2 linked regions of the Macaca fascicularis genome follow. The protein of the gene in region 1 interacts with the protein of each later gene in a pairwise test. Links are inferred from orthologs where the notes say so. Each region holds a gene or a part of one and is shown in the gene's direction. Other genes may lie near its edges.

Region 1 (3,811 bases):
TTCCTTACCTTTTTATTTTTATTCTGTAGGTGGCCATAATTTAGAATGAAGCATATTTTTATAGTTTTTGATGATTAGTTTTATTTAAGACACAAATTAGTAGAAAGCTATCTATTCCTTTAAGTAGATCAATTTAATTGAATTTTTCTTCAATATTGCCTTCAGCTCACTTTTTCTGTGTCTTAATCATTCTTAATGGTTAATACATTTTTTTTCTCCTTGATTAAAACCCTGGAATATTCATTCAAGTGGGGGAAATCTGGCCATATTCATGGTAACACCTACTTGAGAAAAAAAAAATAGGACATTTAATCAAATTCAAGGTATTCAAGAATTTCTTCAAATAATGGTAGGTTCTGTTTATTGGAAATAATACCAAATCAGTAGCATTTATAGACCTAGAGTAAATAGCTCTTCTTTCTTTTCTTTTTGATTGCCAAATTTTTGAACAGTACTGCCCATCATTAACAATTGTTCTGCTAAAAAACAATGCAAAAGAGGCAATCTTTTATTTACTGCCATAGCAGTGAAAACTTTAAAATTTAAGAAATAATTTTCTAGTTGTACTTGCCTCCAGAACTCAGCCTTTCCCGTGTGCCTATCATATTTTGTATGCATGTCTGATTGTTGTTACTTTATGATTAGCATATATAGATTTTTCTCCGAGCATTTCTCATATAATCTTTAATTAGCAATTCACCCCTGTGAATCATATGCATTTAACTTTTTCCATTCTAGAAGGTCCTTTCCCAAATGCAACCATGTTTCTGTGCATGGTGGTAATTAAGTCATTGCTCACAGGGTATTTACTTAGTTTCTTAAAACATTAATTATTCTTTCCCTTTTTTTGTACTGCAGGTCTTCCGACCCCGAACTCCACCAGAGGCAATTGCACTGTGTAGCCGTCTGCTGGAGTATACGCCAACTGCCCGACTAACACCACTGGAAGCTTGTGCACATTCATTTTTTGATGAATTACGGGACCCAAATGTCAAACTACCAAATGGGCGAGACACACCTGCACTCTTCAACTTCACCACTCAAGGTAAATCCAAACACTTTGCTCTTCACCAGTTCTAGGAAAGCTACACACTGGGTGTGAAATGACATTCTATTAATTAAAATCTGTGGGAGACAAAAATGGACATATTAAGTACTTAGGTAGGCGAAAAGAGCATCCTTTCTAACTTAATGGTCACTACTTATATGATTTTGAAGAAAAGAGTAGCACATAAAAGTTTTCCAATAGGCATAGCTTCTTTAATTTTTAGCAGAATATAATGTTGGCACAGGAGAAGTTACAGAGAGTTCAGTGAGTGAAGTTTATCACTAATTGGACTAATGTACAATTTAACCTTTAGGTTTGGATCTGAAACTTAAAATAGTAGCATTTCTTGCTTCCCTAGAGTTTGTATCAAGTTTTTTTAAACCTGGAATGAATTGGCTATATTTGTATAAATTCAGTTGTCTTCCAAACAGGAGGAAAACTGGAGCCCTATAAACCCTTTCTAAGAACTTAAACAAACAATAGAGACAAGGAAATTTCCATCCCCTCTGAGATTTGGCACCATCGCTGCTGCAGAGAAAATACTGAAAGGAAAACTAACTTTGTGCATTGTGGTTTCTGGAAGACCTTGGGATAGTCACTATTTCTTCACTATTTCTGTGTTCAGTTTTCTTTTCTCCTTGATTAAGACCTAAGTGATTCATTCATTCAGTCACACTACCTCTGATGATGTGACTTTCTTCTTACACTGAGCATAAAAAATGTACAATTCATTACCAAAAAAAACACAGTTGATGTATTGATTAGTAAGCATACTCAGGCTAGAAAACAGAAAAGGGAGATGTTGAGCTTTCTGTGAAAGAAAGAAATCTATTTCCTTTATTCATATATATCATATCTTTCTTTTTAAAAAAAAAAAAGAAGACTCTTTTATTTTGGTATTTTAAAATATGTTTGCCCAGCACATTAGATATAAATATGATGTGGGTCTTGAACATTTATGTTTTTGAGGGTTTGGAGAATGCATTTATATTTGGATGTAATGTGTATAGATAGAGTGTGTGGTCTCTGTGGTTATCAGAGTGTTTATGTGATTCTGAGTATCAGTGAAAAACTGGACCCTGTAAACACAGTCATGTATTCCTTAGTGATGCAGATATGTTCTGAGAAATGTGTCATTCAGCAATTTTCGTCCTTGGGCAGACGTCACAGAGTGTGCTTATGCCTACTTATTATTGAAAGTGCTGTCATTTTGAGATATGGCCCCTTTTTAAAAAGTGTTAAAATGCTCTGTCTTAGCACCCATTCTGAAACTGAGCTGTAATCACAAAGTAGTACTTTCTCACGGTCTTTGTAAATCACTATTGTTACTGTTTTTGAACAGTGTTTCTATGTAAGATGTCCAGGGAAGAGAGGTTTTTTTTGTTGTTGTTGTTGTTATTGTTTTTGTTTTTTGGTTTTTTTTGTTTGTTTTGTTTTGAGACGGAGTCTCACTCTGTCACTCAGGCTGGAGTGCAGTGGCATGATCTTGCCTCACTGCAACCTCCACCTCCCAGATTCAAACAATTCTTGTGCCTCAGCCTCCTTAGTAGCTGGGATTACAGGCACCTGCCACCATGCCTGGCTAATTTTTGTATTTTCAGTAGAGACGGGGTTTCACCATGTTGGCCAGACTGGTTTTAAACTCCTGACCTCAGGTGATCTGCCTGCCTTGGCCTCCCAGAGTGCTAGGATTACAGGTGTGAGCCACCATGCCTAGCCTTGATGCCATTGTATTTGATATGATACTCTGTATTCTAATTTTGGAGCAGTGTTTCCAAATGGTGATCTTGTTTTCTGAGGCAGCTGTAACTGTGTACAGATGCAACTTTAAAGCACATGCTAGTTAGTAGTAATTAATGGATGACCAGAATAAAACTGGGTAATCCAAGGGGTTGAAGAAGGAGAATCAATCTTCCAGTTGGTTGTATAGCTAAAGGAAATCTAGAGATAGAAACATTGTGGGGGGTCTGGTTGAAGGGTGAGGGATATTAGTGAGGTTCTTCTAAAGGCAGCATAAAGCCCTCCTCCATCCTCATAACAAATTGTCAGTGACATCTGCAGCACTGCTTCCCCCAAATAAAATAAAGATCTACATATAGTAGGTGCTCAATGAATGTATGAGTGCCATGTACCACTTTAAATAAACATAATATTCATTAATTCATACAACCAGTATTTTTGGGGCATTTCTAATGTTCCCTCTGGTTGTCATTACTATTGTTTTAATTTCTAAAGTAAACCTGCTATATATACGGAACTATAAAGATTAAACACTTGAGTAAAATATAGTGTTTTATTAAGGTAAAGCTTACAATAAAGCTAACTGCAATTTGATGTTTGTTACTGTACCATGGAGTAATTAGCCATAAACAGTAATTAGCATTACTTTCATATAATCACAATATTTCCATATTCAGATAGACGAAGGAGAGAGATGAACAGATATGAGATGGACAACTTTGAGATCTTTCTGATTGCCTAAATCCATAACTCAGGAGAACATCAGACCTCTCTCATTTTTCCAGCACTGAAGCTTCAGTGTTCCAGGACCCCATGACTGACAATATTATCTGCTCTCAGATGTTGGAAATTGGAATAAACCTTTGGCACACCCCCTTCTTTCCATTTCTTCCTGTCATTAGAATTTCAAATTCAGCCATAGCTGAATCAGACCTTAGGAAGCAGATAGAATCAGGAAAGCCCAGTAAGGATCAGTATTTTCTTATTAACTAATTTGTTGCCTATTCCAAGGCTGGAATATAT
Region 2 (4,396 bases), on another chromosome or scaffold:
CTGATCCGGCTAGCCCCGCCCCTCCCGTTCTAGCCCCACCCACCAACGTTGGCACGAGCCAGCCCCTCGGGCGATACCTCCGCCGTCTCAGCCCGGCCCGCTAGGAGTCCTTTCTGCCCCGCGCGCAGCTCAGGGTTTCCAGCGTCCCCGGTCGTCTCACGCACCTGGAAGATTCTGAAATCCTCCTCCTGTGCATCCTGCCGTAGGCCGTGCTTCCAAGGGATGCGGAAGCGCGTGCGGCTCTCGTTCACCCAGGCCACGCCCTCCAGTTGCCCCAGGTCCAGCTGCGACACCAGCCAGGGCAGGATCCGTGGCTTTGGGGTTCCCATGGTCCGGCCTGCGCGTATAGGGCATTTTCTGGGCGCGACCGGCCTCCCCCGGACCCACCTGGCCTGGAGTTTCCGCACCCAGAACCCTCCCTCTCACGGGCCACGGCACAGGTCCTTCACCCATATTTTCGGGGGTACAAACAGGAAACCTCCTCTTCCCATCCTCCCATCTTCCCGAGAGGCTCCTTAATCCGCTAGGGTTCCTTCCCATATCCATGGCATACCCTTCCCCAGTGTCTTCAGTGCAGACCCTCCACTCTCTCAATTCCGCCAGTATAGACCTCCTCTCTCCCCGACATCATCGAAAGCAAGTATCCCCACTTTCAGGGTAGCATCCTCTTTCCCTAGTTATTTCAGTGCAGAATCGATTCACGTGTAAGCCTCTATCTCCTGCATTTACCCCAGTGTAGATCCCCTTCCCCAGTCCCCCTACAGAAGATCCCCCGAAACATTTCCAACACAGAACTTCCATCCAATTCCTCCTCGACTGCCAGCCCCCCTCCTCCAGGACAGAGCACGCCTCAGGTTTCGGGAGTGAACTACACCCATGTACGGAGTCCATCCTTCCCTCTGTAGAACCCCTCAGTGTAGACGCCTCCTGTTTTCCTCTTTCCTCCCTACTTTTTCTAGTTTTTCTCCAGCCGACCTCCAGCGTCGGCCACTGTAGCTCCTTCCTTGCTCCACTTTCCCCAGAGTACACAGCCTGCCTTTCCACTCTCCGTGCAGACCCATCCTGTTTCCCGCTCCTCGCTCTCGGACGCCACTAACGCTCTCCCAGGCTCTTCCGCGTTACCTACGATAGAAGCTCAGGGCGTGCAGGGAGCTGGCGCCCACCCCTGTTTTGGGGCTCCGGATAGCTCTCAAAGTCGGGGCTGCGCACCCCCTTTCCCGTCAGCTGAACTCTAGACGCTGAGGCTTTCTTTTCGATCGACTTCTTGAAATAAAACCAACTTTATCATTCTTTGGGTAACACACCCCGGAGCCGAACGGACGGCCCGCGGGGCCCGGGGCTGTCCCCGCCCCTATGCCCTTTTTTGGGTTTCCGGCCAGAGGCATGCTGGGAGCGTCACATGCAAATTGAGCGTGCATCCAGCGTTCCGCCCTTTCTTCGTTGGGCCAGTTACCGACCCGGCCCAGTGCGCAGGCGCGGGAAAGTTGAACTAATAAAGTTTGTACAAGTTGAGTGGAGGCGGCGGCAGGTTGAGTGGAGGAGGCGGCGGTGAGGCCCCGGACCAGGTCAGCGGGGTGTTGACGAGGGGTGGGGTAAGGAGGGAAGAGGAGCGGGCCAGGATCCAGTAGTGGGCACCCCAGTCCCGCTTCTCCGACATCCAAGGGTCCAGGGTCCTCTAGATTCCAGCAGGAGTCGGGGATTTGGAACTACACCTCACAGCAGGCTGCGCGGCGAAGAAGCGCGGACCGAGGGGAAGATTTGCCCTGAAGCCTCCTGGGATTGGTAGTTCCCGATGCTTTAAGGGTTTCAGTAGTTTGGCATATGCCTCTTATAGAATCCAGGAGTTGGGGCGCTAAGCCCCTTCTTCCTGGGAGACCTAAGGGTCTGGGGCTCCAGTTCCTTTCTCTCTAAGACTCAGGAGTCTAGACCCCATCTCCCTCCTCCTTTAGACCCACGAATCTGGGCACCCAGCCCCCCCACCTTTCCTTGGATCAAAGAGTCTTTCCTGACCCCTCTTTCGTCTGAGGACTCAAGAGTCTAGGCCCCTAGACCGACACTTTCCAAATGACCCAGGAGTCCAGGCCTTCCTTGGGACTCACAAGTCCTGGTCCCCAACCAAGCCTCCACTTCTTGCTAACCCCTTGGAGTCCAGTCCCTAGTCCCCTCTCTCACAGGTGCCTCCATGGCAGGCTCTGAAGAGCTGGGGCTCCGGGAAGACACGCTGAGGGTCCTAGCTGCCTTCCTTAGGCGTGGTGAGGCTGCCGGGTCTCCTGTTCCAACTCCACTCAGGTAAGAGGAGTTGCCCTTCTCCCCCAGGGGCCAGCATTTGAGGCTCCCTCCTAACTCTTGCTCCTGGTCTCAGTCTGTCTCCTCTCTTTATATCTGGCTCTATTCTCTGTTTTGGAGAGAGGTCCTCAGCGGGGGAGGGAGGGAGTTGGGGAAAGAGCCTGCTTGCAGGGGATCTTTGGTGGGGTCACTCTCTGAAGTCCTCTTCCCCAGAAGCCCTGCCCAAGAAGAGCCAACAGACTTCCTGAGCCGCCTTCGAAGATGTCTTCCCTGCTCCCTGGGGCAAGGAGCAGCACCCCCGGAGTCCCCTCGGCCTTGCTCTCTGCCCATCCGCCCCTGCTATGGTTCAGAGCCTGGTAAGAGATTTCCATGATCGTCTATGAAACTGGCAGAACACGGGATAAGGTGCTAGTTTAAGATCACTCAGGGGGTGGCTGTGTGGAGTCTCTAGCATCAGCCTTCAGGATGGAACCGTCCTGTCGTCTCCTCTCCCCAGTTAGATTTCTATCTGTCAATGCTGTGGGTTGGCTTTCAGAGAGCATTTGGTCCATCTGGTTGTTGTCTCTTTCCTTCCATAACTACTTCCCTGCCCCTAGGACTTTTGTAGCCAGGAATACCGCTGATAGAGGGGTAGGAGGGCTGGTTTTCAATTACATCTCCCTGGCTGTTTTAGTTGCGTGACTCTGGGGAAAATGCTTTCTCTTCCTTGCTCCCCTGTTTTTCCAATAGCAGAGTAGGAATTGGGGAGGAGGTCACTGGACTTGATCAAGGTGACCCACAAGTTTCCCCGTAGGTGTGAACCTGGACAGACTAGTAATGGCTGCTGCGAGTGCTAGCTTGAAAAGGAGTTCACAGCTGGGGAGAGGAAGTGCTTTGATCAATTGGTGATGTCTGAAGTGGGTGAGGGAAGGGGGATACTAACAGTAGTGTCTTGTGTTTGCCTTCCTTGGATGAGATCATCTTCGAGGTCTAGTTCAGCTCTGACAGTCTTTTGGAGACAGAGCTCTGTCACCCAGGCTGGAGTGCAGGGTTGCAATCTCGACTCATTGCAATCCCCACCTCCTGGGTTCAAGTGATTATCGTGCCTCAGCCTTCCGAGTGGCTGGGCTTGCAGATGCACTCCAGCATACCAGCTAATTTTTGTACTTTTAGTAGACACGGGGTTTCTCTATGTTGGCCAGGCTGGCCTCAAACTCCTGGCCTCAAGTGACCCTCCCGTTTCGGCCTCCAAAGTGCTGGGATTACAGACATGAGCCACCGCACCCGGCCAGCTCTGACATTCTAAGTGCAGTTTGAGGATCTGATAAAATGAAAAGTACAAAGGTTTTGGCATTTTTTACCAAGTTTTCTCACTGGGACTCAGCTTACCCCATTATAAAATGGGAATCATTGCCACCTGCCACGGTAGTTGGGGGAAGGAGAGAATCCATAAGTTTCCAATGTCCTGGAAACCTGTCATTAACTCTTTTCACCCCAGGCCCAGCTACTCCAGACTTCTATGCCTTGGTGGCTCAGCGGCTGGAACAGCTGGTCCAAGAGCAACTGAAATCTCCACCTAGCCCAGGTGAGGCACGGAGGAGCCCCAGAAAAGGATGGGAGTAGGAGGATAGGGTTCTGCCCCCAGCCAAATTCTCTTCTGCCTCCAGAATTACAGGGTCCCCCACCCACAGAGAAGGAAGCCATACTGCGGAGGCTGGTGGCCCTGCTGGAGGAGGAGGCAGAAGTCATTAACCAGAAGGTGATGGGCGTCTGTCCCACCCCTTGGCAAGGACAAGAGTTGCGGAATGGTGGGGCACTGGGATCAGAAGCTGGATCTGTATTTTCTTTGGATGGTCAGGTGGAAAGAGGCTGGGACAAGGTTTCAATGAAGGGTTGAGGCTGGGCGTGGTGGCTCATGCCTGTAATCCCACCACTTTGGGAGGCCTAGGTGGGCGGATGACTTGAGGTCAGGAGATCGAGACCAGCCTGGCCAACACAGTGAAACCCCATCTCTACTAAAAATACAAAAATTAGCCAGGTGCGGTGGCACATGCCTGTAATCCCAGCTACTTGGAAGGCTGAGGTGGGAGAATCGCTTGAGCCCAGGAGGCGGAGGTTGCAGTGAGCCAAG

The links.
Region 2: the proteins of GSK3B (region 1) and BCL2L12 interact in a two-hybrid assay, tested with the Homo sapiens proteins (2 studies listed by BioGRID and IntAct). The link is inferred for Macaca fascicularis from reciprocal best matches to the Homo sapiens genes GSK3B and BCL2L12.

Annotation. Positions count from the first base shown.
Region 1 is NC_088376.1:163,313,486-163,317,296, forward strand, and holds part of GSK3B (glycogen synthase kinase-3 beta), read left to right. Parts: intron 1-858; coding exon 859-1,045; intron 1,046-3,811. UniProt on the Homo sapiens protein: Constitutively active protein kinase that acts as a negative regulator in the hormonal control of glucose homeostasis, Wnt signaling and regulation of transcription factors and microtubules, by phosphorylating and inactivating glycogen synthase (GYS1 or GYS2), EIF2B, CTNNB1/beta-catenin, APC, AXIN1, DPYSL2/CRMP2, JUN, NFATC1/NFATC, MAPT/TAU and MACF1.
Region 2 is NC_088393.1:57,638,152-57,642,547, forward strand, and holds the start of BCL2L12 (bcl-2-like protein 12), read left to right. Parts: upstream 1-1,501; 5' UTR 1,502-1,565; intron 1,566-1,662; 5' UTR 1,663-1,782; intron 1,783-2,174; 5' UTR 2,175-2,182; coding exon 2,183-2,289; intron 2,290-2,499; coding exon 2,500-2,642; intron 2,643-3,763; coding exon 3,764-3,850; intron 3,851-3,932; coding exon 3,933-4,024; intron 4,025-4,396. Other genes in the region: IRF3 (interferon regulatory factor 3), read right to left, coding at 78-329.